Arabidopsis thaliana: one gene and its partners. The protein of the gene in region 1 interacts with the protein of each later gene in a pairwise test. Each region holds a gene or a part of one and is shown in the gene's direction. Other genes may lie near its edges.

Evidence for each region.
Region 2: the proteins of TAP46 (region 1) and PP2A-3 interact in a two-hybrid assay, tested with the Arabidopsis thaliana proteins (one study listed by BioGRID).
Region 3: the proteins of TAP46 (region 1) and S6K2 come close enough for resonance energy transfer, tested with the Arabidopsis thaliana proteins (one study listed by BioGRID).

The regions. Positions count from the first base shown.
Region 1 is NC_003076.8:21,485,446-21,490,094, reverse strand, and holds the start of TAP46 (2A phosphatase associated protein of 46 kD), read left to right. Parts: upstream 1-2,052; 5' UTR 2,053-2,225; coding exon 2,226-2,321; intron 2,322-2,464; coding exon 2,465-2,587; intron 2,588-2,878; coding exon 2,879-2,965; intron 2,966-3,084; coding exon 3,085-3,189; intron 3,190-3,295; coding exon 3,296-3,457; intron 3,458-3,540; coding exon 3,541-3,576; intron 3,577-3,660; coding exon 3,661-3,732; intron 3,733-3,824; coding exon 3,825-4,105; intron 4,106-4,185; coding exon 4,186-4,441; 3' UTR 4,442-4,649. Other genes in the region: AT5G53010 (calcium-transporting ATPase), read left to right, coding at 35-138, 343-388, 583-711, 790-891, 981-1,057, 1,145-1,196. UniProt on the Arabidopsis thaliana protein: Involved in the positive regulation of the TOR signaling pathway. Acts as a negative regulator of PP2A catalytic activity. Plays a positive role in the ABA-regulated inhibition of germination, probably throught its interaction with ABI5.
Region 2 is NC_003071.7:17,698,999-17,703,647, reverse strand, and holds the start of PP2A-3 (protein phosphatase 2A-3), read left to right. Parts: upstream 1-2,230; 5' UTR 2,231-2,421; coding exon 2,422-2,514; intron 2,515-3,123; coding exon 3,124-3,180; intron 3,181-3,311; coding exon 3,312-3,395; intron 3,396-3,450; coding exon of another isoform or gene 3,451-3,473; coding exon 3,474-3,545; intron 3,546-3,741; coding exon 3,742-3,813; intron 3,814-4,053; coding exon 4,054-4,094; intron 4,095-4,405; coding exon 4,406-4,472; coding exon of another isoform or gene 4,473-4,520; exon of another isoform or gene 4,521-4,577; coding exon of another isoform or gene 4,578-4,619; exon of another isoform or gene 4,620-4,649. Other genes in the region: AT2G42510 (survival motor neuron interacting protein), read right to left, coding at 308-337, 705-1,962. UniProt on the Arabidopsis thaliana protein: Functions redundantly with PP2A4, and is involved in establishing auxin gradients, apical-basal axis of polarity and root and shoot apical meristem during embryogenesis.
Region 3 is NC_003074.8:2,648,626-2,653,274, reverse strand, and holds the start of S6K2 (serine/threonine protein kinase 2), read left to right. Parts: upstream 1-2,043; 5' UTR 2,044-2,553; intron 2,554-2,661; 5' UTR 2,662-2,867; coding exon 2,868-3,491; intron 3,492-3,574; coding exon 3,575-3,657; intron 3,658-3,744; coding exon 3,745-4,039; intron 4,040-4,136; coding exon 4,137-4,241; intron 4,242-4,341; coding exon 4,342-4,649. Other genes in the region: PK1 (protein-serine kinase 1), read left to right, coding at 1-517, 603-685, 775-1,069, 1,154-1,258, 1,386-1,694. UniProt on the Arabidopsis thaliana protein: Downstream effector of TOR signaling pathway. May be involved in adaptation of plant to cold or high-salt conditions. Mediates the phosphorylation of MRFs (e.g. MRF1).

The DNA.
Region 1 (4,649 bases):
TCCCTAACCCAGTTTTTGCTTTTTCCTGATGCAGTTTCTGTTGGTTAATCTAATTATCGACATCTTAGGAGCATTAGCTTTGGCATACAGACCAAGATCTGATCACCACCTAATGGGAAAGCCACCGGTTGGTATAAGGTACAAATTCTGAATAGGATCAAGGATAAGATTTGATTATTAAGTCAATATAGAGTTGGCTTAGAAAGAGACATTAATGTATTGATGCTGAAGGTTTTGAAGAAACTGTTGGTTTTGCAATTCTTGTTAAAACACACTATCTGTTCTAGGTGAATATACACAAACTGATAGTACATATGCATGTGTACATTTTTTGTTTTTCAGAGATCCTCTTATAACCAAGACGATGTGGTCCAAGATGATAATTCAGGTATGTAGGGTAAAATCCTCGATTGATCATGTGTGGACGTTAATGTCAGATTAAGTATTTCACACCTTCATAGTTTCCAAGGAGCAAATACAATTCCTTGGTGATATTAAACTAATTAATTATTTAGATTAGAGACAAACACACTGGTTTGGAGACCTCTAATAATGCTTGTGTCATGAAATACCTTCCTCCAGGTATTTTACCTAGTGCTCTCGCTGGTACTCATAAATTCTGAGAAGCTACTGAAGCTGAAGCATGGTCAGACGGGCAATGCCGAAAAAATGATGAACACATTGATATTCAATTCCTTTGTCTTCTACCTGGTAATATCTGATTTTTTCCCACTCTTCTAATTAGAGTTCATATGTTGATCATCTCTCTATCTTTCTAAAATAACGCAGGTTTTTAATGAGTTTGAAATCCAAAGTGTAGACCAAACCTTCAAAGAAGTCCTTAGAGAGAATATGTTTCTCGTTACAATAACCTCAACTATCATATCTCAGGTAAGTCCTCTTTACAAGTGAACACAACATTTGTCTTTTCTTATATATCCCTAAACCATATATACTCTCTTTCTGTTCTTTCATATCAGATAATCGTGATCAAGTTCGCAGGCATTTTCATTGACTTGAAAAAATGGGTGACGACAAGTCTTTTGGGGTTACTCAGGTTCTGCTCATAAACATCCTCAACTACTTTCTTTAATTTTTTACTCTTCACATTTTTTCTCAATACGTAAATTTAACCTTTTTTCAGCCAAGTCGCCACTCGCTACCCTTACCCAGCCATCCAATATCATCGTAACTGAGATTTCTCTTGCCGTATGGCTCAATTCTCGTAAGAAGTAAGAACCATTCACTCCCAAAGTCTCCTAATGAATCGCATATGACTATCTTATTTTAGATCTGGCAAGTAGTTTCTCTCAACTTGCAGTTCTCATCTCAGGTCAACTTTTGAAGCATCCCTCTAGCTTTGGTCGCTTAGGAGGCTGTTGTTCTCTGCGCGGGTGTGCGTGAGAGATTAAATAATGCGGATTATTGTGCTGTGTATATAGCATACTACAGTTTATTCAGTCAATTCATTTTCCTCTTGAAGATATGTCGAGTGAAATGCGTGAAAGTCAAACATTTAAGTTCTGTATCCATTTCCCTTTCAAGCTATGTAGACTGTAATGGGTGACAGTCATATATAGTATATATAGTAAGCTCTGTTCAATCAATGCACCTCTTCGTTTTCGATTCATGAATTGTTTGTTGGATGTTCCTAAATCTTTGGATCCAGCTGATTCACCGCGATTGAGGTGGCTTTAGTTATCGGTATCCACCATTCCTTACTGCTATAGGTCGATCGAATCAATAACACTACGACAATTCGGGCTGCTTAGACAGCGGGTGCGATACTAGTTTATTCATACTCCTACTCGTACAAAAATCAAGAAAATTTCATCTCCATTCAAATTAAGAAAAAAAACAGTAAACATTCATATACCATAGCCACAATCACATTCGTGGCGGTTTTACACTACACCCGCCGCACCTGATCTTTGACTTGATATTTTTATACAACTGAGTCGGTTTTTGACTTTTGAGGTTGTGGACAGATCTAACGGCTAATAGAATTCGAGTTATCTACTTCACCTGACGCGGCAAAATCTCAACCGTCCCTTATAAAGCTCTTCGCGGTTAACATTTTCTCTCCTCTGTCTGTGTGTACTCGTGGTAAATTAGTCAGATTTCGATTTGGAACCCTAAAAAAATTCAAAAGACGATCCTCTTCTCGAAGAAACTCGATTCTTGTGGATTCGATTTCATTAAGGAATTTTGAATTGTTGCCTGTGATGGGTGGTTTGGCTATGGAGGAAATGCCTTTATCGGTGCTATTCGAGCAAGCTAGGAAAATTCATCTTGCTGCTTCAGAGTCTGGTGTTGATCAGGTGGAAGCTTCTACCTCTTTTTTATATACAGATTCGATTAGGGTGTTTATCTGAAATGGGTATTTCGAATCCGAATCGCGAGTTTTTACTGAATTGGACATTTCCGGGGATGCTTAGTTCATTCTTTTCCTTTGGTTTGTTAGGATGTTGTGAAGAAAGGATGTGAGATGTTTCAGAAGTGCGAAGATATGATCGGGAAGCTGGCGCTGTTTTCGTCTAACGAGACTAAAGAAGATATTAGCACCAACAATCTCAAATATCTTTTGGTATGCAATTGAGTCTCTGTTGTTTGGATTTTTGTAATTTGTTTGTATTCTAGTTTTGTTATTAGTTTTGGTGTGGAAAGATCTGAAAGTGAAAAACTTTAGCTTGTCCTGATGCTTCTAGTTTTAGCTACTGACTGAAATTCAAAATGGAGTCTGAGATTTTGGATTGTAACGTTTTCCATTGAACTTACTCTGTGTGGAGACCATAAGATTGTGTTGAGATCATAAGATTGTGTTGCGAGTTGACATTTCTATAAAGTGACGAGGGATTATATTGTCTTGTGATTATAGGTGCCTTATTATCTTGCGGAGTTGACAGAGAAAATCATACAGGAGGACCGGATTCAGATTGTCAAAGCCTCGTATGCTAAGTTGAAGGTTAGTTTTCTGCTGAGTGTTTACATGTTTTTGTATCCCTTTGATGCTATTGCAAGTGGGAATGAGCATTTGGTTGGATTTTTTTTGAGATTGATGTATAGTTTTGTTATTGTGTCTAGGAGTTCTTTTCGTTCTGTGAGGCAATGGAGCTTGTTCCGGATGAGGAGTTGGAGGCTTCTTCACGAGGAGGTTCTGGTGCACCTGCTGATCGAAGGGCTCTCAAGGTAGATTCAGCCCTGTTTCTTTTGTTTATGTTCTGACGAGAATGAAGTTTAAAGTTTTCGGATTTTGAAATGCGTGTTGTGTCTTCATGATTATGGTACTTTGTAGATAGCTCGGTTCAAACGTCAAAAGGCTGCAGAGGCAAAGCTTCTTGAAATTAAAGAGAGGAAGGAGCGACGTGGACGTTCCACTAAAGCATCAGCTTTGTCGACTCCGGTTGAATCTGGAGAAGATGATATTCCAGATGATGACAGCGAAGAAGAGAGAGAGGTTTGTCCCACTTTTTGTTTTGCTGCTTTCTCTAATTCGATTTTTTCTTCTAAGCTTTCTTGTCTTATTGCTTTCCTCTGCAGGCCTGGCTCTCCTCAATTAACTTGGCTATTTGTAAGGTTTGTCTAAAAATCATTTCATTAGAACCCTATGATTTGTCACAAGTTGAGGAGGCATTATCTTATGATTGAACTTCGTTACAGGCTATTGATCTGTTGGAAATGCTAAAGAGAGAAGAGGAAATGCTCTCTGCAATAAAGGAAAGACAGTTGAAGGTAGCTTACCGTGGTGTTAGTTTTTTTAGGTGCGAACAAAACTATTTGATAAACATATAAAAGAAGAAAACGTGTTATGATATTTTGATCAGGATGGAGAGGGTGGATTTTCTCGGGATGCTCTTGATGATCGTACAAAGAAAGCTGAAACCTGGCACAGAGACGCTGCTGCAAGGATACAGTACTCTAAACCGGCACAACCAATCACTTGTGCCACATTTGCACAAGATGTGTTAGAAGGAAGAGCTTCGGTATCACAAGGTCACGAACACAAGAACCAACCTCTTATATTCGGTCCAGCAAGCATCGTGGGTGGACCGCTCTCTACCGAGAGAGAAAGAATGATAGCTCAGGTCTTCCAACCAAGTCACAGGTAGACACAAAATATTGCTCATTACAAAATCTTAATCCTTTTTGAGATTTAAAAATGGTGATTAAACTTGGGTTTTGTAGGATGCCAACAATGTGCATAGAGGATGCTGGGTTAACAGAGATGAACATAATGAATGATTGGCAAGAGCAGACGAAAAAAGCCATTGAAGAAGCAACCACCTCATGGTACAATGATAAACCTCTAAGAAGAAAAGAAGAAGACGAGGAAGATGATGATGAAGACGAAGAAGCTGTGATGAAAGCTAGAGCTTTCGATGATTGGAAGGATGATAATCCTCGCGGTGCAGGTAACAAGAAACTCACACCTTGTGGCTGAGACTAGAGACCGAGACACACATTATTTAACACTTTCTCCCTCTCTTTTGTTTCTTATTTCCAAAACCTCTTCGTTCACTTATTATAATGTCTGTAATGTAATCATCTTTCTACTCTTAAGCCTTAGACTTACAGATTTTGGATTCACGGATTCACTTTCATTTTCGTTGGGAATATTATTTTTAAATACGCCGACTACTAAAGATACA
Region 2 (4,649 bases), on another chromosome or scaffold:
GTTTTGATTTCTATTGAAGAAACCAATAAAAACAAAGAAAAGAACTAAGCCCATCAAAAAGATTTAGCTTTCAAAGGTATTGATTTTTATTGAAGATGTATGAACATGTACAACTTTTTAGCCGATAAAATCATGGCCATACACACTTTGAACCAAACAAACTCTCTAGACCCCTTTAAACAATCTGAACTAAAGAATCTATATACAGAAAGAATGTATTGTTTCTTAGAAAAGGAAAAATTGGTGAACACAGGATTTATGAAACACAGGCTTCGACAGATTTCTTCAGGTCAATGTACAAAGAGACGGGTTCGTCTTGGTACAGCCGATATGGGACCTGTGGAAAAGAAAACAAACGGCCCCTATCAAAAAGATACTTAGGAACAACCACTGCTGAAAGAGTCGCAGACACTAAGCCCGACTGGATTTGTCACTTTGAGATGACCATTAGAGAAGGAAATCACCATAAAACCGTAGCAAAGAAAAAGCCATTTGAGTGACACACACAAACAAAAATGCAGCAGATATAGCTTAAGGTTATACATGAGCTAAGTAATCTTAACTTGGAGTGACATATTTCTATTAGACCTAAAAGTTTCCTCAACATGTTCAACTAAAAACAGGCAACACCACAAAATGCAGCAGCTAAGATAAAAGTAAAGTAAGTGGAGGGTTACCGAGGATACTCTTGTGATTCTTCAAACCTTCGTACTCAGTCACCAGCTCAGGTAGGAGTCTAGCATACAAGTCACTCCACAGTTTCTTCTGATTCGCAATGTGGGCATACCTCATCGACTCCATTTGGTTCCTAGAGTACATTATCCGCAACTGCTTCCCATTCATTTCTCCACTGTTACGAAAGTCAGAAACTTTGGTTGACGCATTCCTTTCAACAATGCTAGAAGCATTTCCCTTATCAATCGGTTTCTCTACTCCAACTTTCTTATGCTTTCTTGGTGCATCCTTATCAGTGTGTGCAGTTACTGGTCTCTTAGAATGATCTTTACCTTTCTTGTAGAAAGGAACAACATCAAACAACGCAGTATCATCAACCAAATCAATATTCACAGATCTTCCAACAAATGCATTATCCTTAACTCTCACTCTTTCCACCTTCTCACGCTGATCTTTAGACCCATTTCCATTCTTTTCGATCTTATGGATATCAGAAGCCCTAGCGAGCGTGTCCCCATCATTCTTCTTCTCAGTCTCCCAAAGTATTTGAACATCAGAATCTTGTCCCTTCTTCTGAGAGTTCAAAATTTCTTTCATATCAGAGATAGAACCGACGCAATCATCCTCTATCTTGTACACATCATCTCCAAATTGATCACTTTCTGTAGAAATCTCAGAGACTTCCTTAATCTGTTGCAGTTCCTTATTCTCTTCAAGAAACGTGGAACCATCTCCGATTTCAGCGAACAATATTATCTTCTCAGCCTCCACAATCCTCTGACCATCAGAATCTTGTCCCTTCTTCTCCGAGTTCAAACTTTCTTTCATATCAGAGATAGATACGACGAACCCATCAGTCTCAACAACATCCTTTATCTTGAGCACATCATCTCCAAGTCGATCGCCTTCTGTAGTAGAAATCTCAGAGCTTTCCTTAATCTCTTCACCAACCTTATTCTCTTCAAGAATCGTGGAACCATTTTCAGGTACAGAGACTACTACTACTCCAGGACACTCCACATTCATCGCCACGGTTTCTTCAAGAGTCGTTTCGGAGAAAGAAATGTCAATAGAATCCGAATGGATGATTTCTCCATCCTTCTCAAAAACAGAAGTAAAAGGCGAAGACTTTACTTGCTTCTTTGGGCTTATCATCTCTTCAACAGAGTCGTCGTTCTCAACCGGCGGCAAAGAAACGATCTTTAGCGAGTCTTCTGCAAATTCATCCCGAGAAATCGAAGTTTTCCCCGACCCAATACTTTCACCGGTATCAAATCTCGTCGCCATCACAGAGATAAAAAAGAGAGAGCGAGACTGTGAGACTAGAGAGAGAGAGCTTTATGAAGCGAAGGCAAAAGTCTCTCGAGACGATTATATAAGCTGAAACCGGTTCAGTTAAACCGTAGAAGTTAGTATTAAACCGGTGATGGCTATTGCACCAATTAAAGTAGAGGGGTATTATGGTAATAGCAAAAGAAAGAGCTCGAAAGATACAAACCACTCGCTTCTCTCCTCACGCGCCTTCTCAAAATTCGATCTTCTTTCACTGCACACAAAGCGAAGAGACAAAGAAGAGAGAGAGAGAGAGAGAGAGAGAGAGAGAGAGAGAGAGAGAGAAAGTGGGGGAAAAAAGGCGAAGAATACGCAGATTCCATCCAATTTAGGGTTAGGACTTCCCCTAATTTGGAAACCTAGTCCTGTTTCCTGATCTGTTTTCCGGATCGGACGAGAGACGAATTAACGAAAATGGGCGCGAATTCTATTCCGACGGACGCAACCATTGATCTTGATGAGCAGATCTCGCAGCTCATGCAGTGCAAGCCTCTCTCGGAGCAACAGGTGCCTACAACTTTCTCTTTAGACCTTAGCCCTTGACGTTTTCTCTACTTTGTTTTTATCGATGATTGGATCTGTTTTTTTTGTTTTTTTGAGTGGAGTGGTATTTTTTTCTGTGTTTGAGGTTTCTTTGGGTACGAGATTATCAGATTTGATTTGGAAAGTTTCGATTTTTTTTTTTTTTTCTAAATGAACATCTTCAGGAAATGTTATTAGATCTTGGCATGTATGTTCTCACGGAAGCTCATTTGTCACCGCAGTTCTATGGGTTGGAGAATTGGCTTTGCTTCTATGGTTTGATGTTAAATTTTGGCTGATTTGGATTCTTAGCATAGTGATTAATCACATCTAAGCTCGTGTTTTTATGTGCCTGGTAATGTCAATCGGGATTCTTATGGACTGATAAATTTTTAATATTTTCGTATCAATAGCTGATCAATACTTGTTGGTTTTTTTTTTTTCTTAATTGATGCTCCTGTTTGTTGCCTGTGTCAAGTTGATTTCTCTAAGTATATATTTCTATGTCATGTGTTTGATAGTGGTTATTAGCTGCATGTCTTGAGAGTGTTAAAGAGGTGAAAATCATATGCAGCATTGTTTTATTTTCCTTAGGTTAGAGCATTATGCGAGAAAGCCAAGGAGATCTTAATGGATGAAAGCAATGTTCAGGTTAGTTCCTGGTCTTGCATATCTCTTTGGTTGAGCAATTTCTTTCACCACACTTGGTGATTCTATTTTCAGTGTGGTAGATTGTGCTACTAGCCATGAATTTATTAGTTCTTTCTATTTCCTGCATGCAGCCTGTGAAAAGCCCTGTGACAATCTGCGGTGATATTCATGGACAGTTCCATGATCTTGCAGAGCTTTTCCGTATAGGGGGAATGGTAACATCTATAAAATATACAGAGCTCTACAAATAGCTCTACCAATCTTACAAAGTATTAATTTTCTCTTTTTTGCAGTGCCCTGATACCAATTACCTGTTTATGGGAGACTATGTGGACCGTGGTTATTATTCTGTTGAAACTGTTACGGTACGAAGATGAAATATTTAGACTTCCTTTTTTTATTCATTTAAGAGTAGGCTGATTGGCAAGCCAGTCATTGTCTTTTTATATTGGTAACAAGATACCATTAACTTGACGGATATTTTTTTCTTTACAATGTATATATTTTGGGTGTGACTATGAAGTATGCTGATACTGTTTCTCTTTCTTATTCTCTTTCCAGCTGTTAGTCGCCTTAAAGATGCGATATCCTCAGCGAATCACTATTCTTAGAGGAAACCATGAAAGTCGTCAGGTAGACTAATGCTTTATGATTTTATTACTCTGGTTCCACTTGTAAATTCACCTTCTGATGTTAAATACAGTACTTCATTGTGTATCCAGTCTTTTCCATCGTTGAGATCTTGGTTGACACACAATTTCCTTTTTTATAAGTCTCTGTTTTGTCTACAAAATTCGTTTTGTGCACATTTTTTTTATCATATTACTATTTTAATCTGACACAGGCTTTTCTTCTTTTTCTTCCATCTCGCAGATTACTCAGGTTTATGGATTTTATGATGAATGTCTACGAAAGTGAGTCTCCTGGAAAAAATCCTTATACTGGAAAAAAAATCCTTATTTTCTAATGCATTTAAACAATTTTTTTAATTATTATTAGCATTACTATTGTCCTTATATTTTTGCTGTTGCATTGTATGTGTGTATGGTAGCCTGTCCAAAATTGTCTTTTCTTTCTTTACTTCCTGTTTCTGTTAATCCTTTGGGCTTATGATTACTTGCTTATAGTATTGTTCTATGTTGTATAATCTTACACATCCTAGTTTGCAGCTTATTTGGGATATAGATTTTGCAATAAATTTAACAAACCATGTTTTCCTTTTTAGGTACGGCAACGCAAATGTTTGGAAAATCTTTACAGACCTCTTCGACTATTTTCCTCTGACAGCCTTGGTTAGTACCTATCATACATGTCTCACATTTTTCTTCCTTTTTTGTTAGTGGGGGTTCACATATAAGTCTATCCTCGTCCGGTAGTCAATTAATATAGATGATCAGTTCTTTGTCTTGTGCTGGCAGTATTATTTGGAACCAAAGTAGTACTTTTGTACTGTGCTGTCGTATTTCTTT
Region 3 (4,649 bases), on another chromosome or scaffold:
TGTTGAACTTGAGTTCTCTGATGTGTTTGGTCCACTCCCCGAAGAGGCCAATGATATTGCTTACGACGAGCCTGCTGTTGTCTACAGTCGATCCCACTCCTTGGTTGGCCCGTGTTCGCTCGATAGTCATTCTTTGAAGCTGACCAAGCTCACCTTACTAGAGACTGAGGACTCAATTGACTTGGTGGAGTGTCTCGAAGGTGAATCTTTAAAAGAAAATGATGATTTCTCTGGTAATGACGACAGTGACAATGAGAAAGCTTTAGAGGGAGATCTGGTGAAAGTCTCAGGTGTAGTAGGCATAGATGATTTTGAGGTTATGAAGGTTGTTGGGAAAGGTGCGTTTGGGAAAGTCTACCAGGTGAGGAAAAAGGAGACCTCTGAGATATACGCTATGAAAGTCATGAGGAAAGATCACATTATGGAGAAGAACCATGCTGAATACATGAAAGCTGAGCGCGATATTCTTACAAAAATTGATCACCCATTCATTGTTCAACTTAAATACTCTTTTCAGGTATATATAACACTTCTCTCTGTTAGCATCCTATTTATTTTACTTTACTATTTCTTAACTTAGAGCGTTATACATTCCCTTGCAGACCAAGTACAGGCTGTATCTTGTGCTCGACTTTATAAACGGAGGTCATCTTTTCTTCCAACTCTATCACCAAGGGCTTTTCAGGTTTGTTTAATTCCTTTTTGCGAACCATTTTTGAAGTTTCGCTAGAATTTTGTAAAGCTTAATTGGTTCTATATTTTACTCTTTCGCAGAGAGGACTTGGCTCGAGTGTACACTGCAGAAATCGTCTCTGCAGTTTCCCATCTCCATGAGAAAGGCATAATGCACAGAGATCTGAAACCCGAAAACATACTCATGGATACAGATGGCCACGTGATGCTAACAGATTTTGGTTTAGCAAAGGAATTTGAAGAAAACACAAGATCAAACTCCATGTGCGGAACTACGGAGTATATGGCACCTGAAATTGTTCGAGGAAAAGGACATGATAAAGCAGCTGACTGGTGGAGCGTAGGGATTCTTCTGTATGAGATGCTCACAGGAAAGGTAAAAGCCGCTATCTATTGTTAATTTGCTTGAAGCCTCATGTCTTGGTATATTGTTGTGTGATGTCTTGTTTTCCTTCTGCAGCCACCGTTTCTCGGGAGCAAAGGAAAGATACAGCAGAAAATTGTGAAGGACAAGATCAAGCTTCCGCAGTTTCTGTCTAATGAAGCTCATGCAATACTGAAAGGGGTAAGTAAATGTTGGTGCAGTTTGATTACAGAATCAACAGTAAACATGAAAATCTTTGTGCAGTTAAGAACTATGAAGCATTGTATTTAGAACAATTCTGACTCTTGACTTTGTAATGAATGTATAGCTGCTGCAAAAAGAGCCAGAAAGGCGACTTGGAAGTGGACTGAGCGGAGCAGAGGAGATAAAACAGCACAAATGGTTCAAGGGAATAAACTGGAAGAAGCTGGAGGCTAGAGAAGTGATGCCAAGTTTCAAGCCGGAAGTATCGGGAAGGCAATGCATAGCAAATTTTGACAAGTGTTGGACTGACATGTCTGTTTTGGATTCTCCGGCGAGCAGTCCCAGTTCGGATCCTAAGGCCAACCCTTTTACCAATTTCACTTACGTCAGGCCTCCTCCTTCATTCCTTCACCAGTCCACAACTACTTTGTAGATTTACTATATTTTTATGTAGTTCCTACTTCTTTGGTTGTTGTTTCCTTCTGACACATGAACATTAAAGAAAACTTTGGTTACCAAGACGCTTAATTTATAATTGATTTTATGAGATTGTTATTGATTGAGATTAAGTAGAGCAGCTAACACTTTGACCTTTTGACCCACGATGTAATATAAAAGAACGTTGAAAACGTGTAAATATAAAAGATGATAACGGTGATGCCTTTGGACCGAACTAGTGTCCGTCTGAACGTCTTGTAATGTAATGGGCTTAAAGAATTCCGGCCCACTAAAACAAAGAAGAAGTTCGGTTTCCCAATAGAACACGAACACGTGTCCTCACCCCATGATCCACGATGCTTCGGAAGACATAAAAAATGTAGCCACGCGCCTTCTTAAAACCTTTTCCTTTTTTGGTTTGGCACATTACCCTCTTTCCTGTTAAAGTTGTCTCGTCTCCTTCTCGTCTCCTTCCTCAAGCATATTCTCTGGTAATTCCTCTCTCTCTGTCTCTCTTTGACTTTTCTCTCGCAGAGTTTAGATTCTTTTTTTTTCTGGATATAAATTATTTACACGACACGAAACCTTCTAGGTCCAGGTCATAGTTTTACTCTATATCTGGATTTGTTTGAAAATTGCTTGTGTTATGCGCCAGCTTTTTCCCTAATATATAGACTAGGTCTTAATTACAGATATTAGAGTTCGTTTCCTCGAGGGTTTCTTTCGACCTCGTGTCCTGGTGAAATTTTGGAATTCTAAGGCTTTGGGGTTTTATTTGGGAGGGGATGATCATCTAAAGGATATTCGGTCGGTGTCGTGTTTTCTTAATCTCAATTCTGTTGACTTTAGCTTTGGTAATTGAAAAAGAATCTTTTCGCTTGCTTATTTTAATTCCATATCCGTCTCTTATTATATTTGGTCAATTATGTGATCTGATCTTTGTGAAATTTTATGAACTGCAGCGCTTAAAGTACTTTGATGGCATTGGGACACTTGTGCAGCATCCACTGTTTCCTTAAAATAGGGAAACAAGAAGAGCTTCTTGTCCTAGATATTGGTTTGCCTATTCCCAGTTTCTTCCTCATTAACTTTATTGGTAGCAGAGCCTCATCCATCTGGTGAACTTGTGAAGCTTCCTCTGTGATTCTTTTGGCGATTGGTTAGAAATATGGTTTCTTCTCAGTGTTCTGTTGCAAACAAAAACCAGACTGGGAAGCCGTTTCAGAAACATCTATCTTTATCCATCAGCCCTCCAAAATCTGTCTTGGGTGATAACCTTGAGCTTCAATTCTCTGATGTCTTTGGACCAATGCCTGAAGCTAACTCTGAAGAGGCCTGTGATGTTGCTTACGACGAGCCTGCTGTTGTCTACAGTCGATCCCACTCATTGGTTGGCCCGTCTTTGGTTGTTAGCCATTCTTTGAAGATGAACAAGCTCACTTTACGAGAAACTGAGGACTCAGTTGACTTGGTGGAGTGTGTTGAAGGTGAATCGATAAAAGAGAACGATGAATTCTCTGGTAATGATGACACTGACAGTGAGAAATCTCCAGAGGAGGTCTCAGGTGTAGTAGGCATTGAGGACTTTGAGGTATTGAAGGTTGTGGGACAAGGTGCATTTGGAAAAGTGTACCAGGTGAGGAAAAAAGACACGTCTGAGATATACGCGATGAAGGTCATGAGAAAAGATAAAATTGTTGAGAAGAATCATGCTGAATACATGAAAGCCGAGCGCGATATTCTAACCAAAATCGATCATCCTTTCATTGTGCAACTTAAATACTCTTTTCAGGTAAAAGCCAACTTCTCTCTGTTTGCATCCTATTGGTTTTTCTCAAGTACTTCCTAACTTAGTGTTTTACATTCTTCTTGCAGACCAAATACAGATTGTATCTTGTTCTTGACTTTATAAACGGAGGTCATCTTTTCTTCCAGCTCTATCACCAAGGGCTTTTCAGGTTTGGCTTTATTCCTTTTGAACTAGTTTTGGAGTTTCACCAGAATTCTGCGAGGCTTGACTAAATCATATGTTATGTTTTTCACAGGGAGGACTTGGCTCGTGTGTACACTGCAGAAATCGTCTCTGCAGTTTCCCATCTCCATGAGAAAGGCATAATGCATAGAGATCTTAAACCTGAAAACATACTCATGGACGTAGATGGCCATGTGATGTTAACTGATTTTGGTTTAGCAAAAGAATTTGAAGAAAACACAAGATCAAACTCCATGTGTGGGACTACGGAGTATATGGCCCCTGAGATTGTTCGTGGAAAAGGACATGATAAGGCTGCCGACTGGTGGAGTGTAGGAATCCTTCTGTATGAGATGCTCACTGGAAAGGTAAAATGTCTTCTTCTTTTTTTGGTTCCATAGTAGCCTAATGTCTAAGGTGATCATTGAAACTGTGTTGTGACACCATTTGTTTTACCTTCTGCAGCCGCCGTTTCTCGGGAGCAAAGGAAAGATACAGCAGAAAATCGTTAAGGACAAGATCAAGCTTCCACAGTTTCTGTCTAATGAAGCTCATGCCTTGCTGAAAGGGGTAAGTAAACAAACATGAGGAATTATTTTGAATCTTTGTGTACTATGAAGCATATTGGGTTTAGACCAGTGTGATTCTGACTTTGTAATGAATTTTATAGCTGCTGCAAAAAGAGCCAGAAAGGAGACTGGGAAGTGGACCGAGCGGAGCAGAGGAGATAAAAAAACACAAATGGTTCAAGGCGATAAACTGGAAGAAGCTGGAGGCTAGAGAAGTACAACCAAGTTTCAAGCCGGCGGTTTCGGGAAGACAATGCATAGCTAATTTTGACAAGTGTTGGACTGACATGTCTGTTTTGGATTCTCCAGCAAGTAGTCCCAACTCTGATGCTAAGGCGAACCCTTTTACAAACTTCACATACGTCAGGCCTCCTCATTCATTCCTTCATCGGACCACATCCAACTTGTA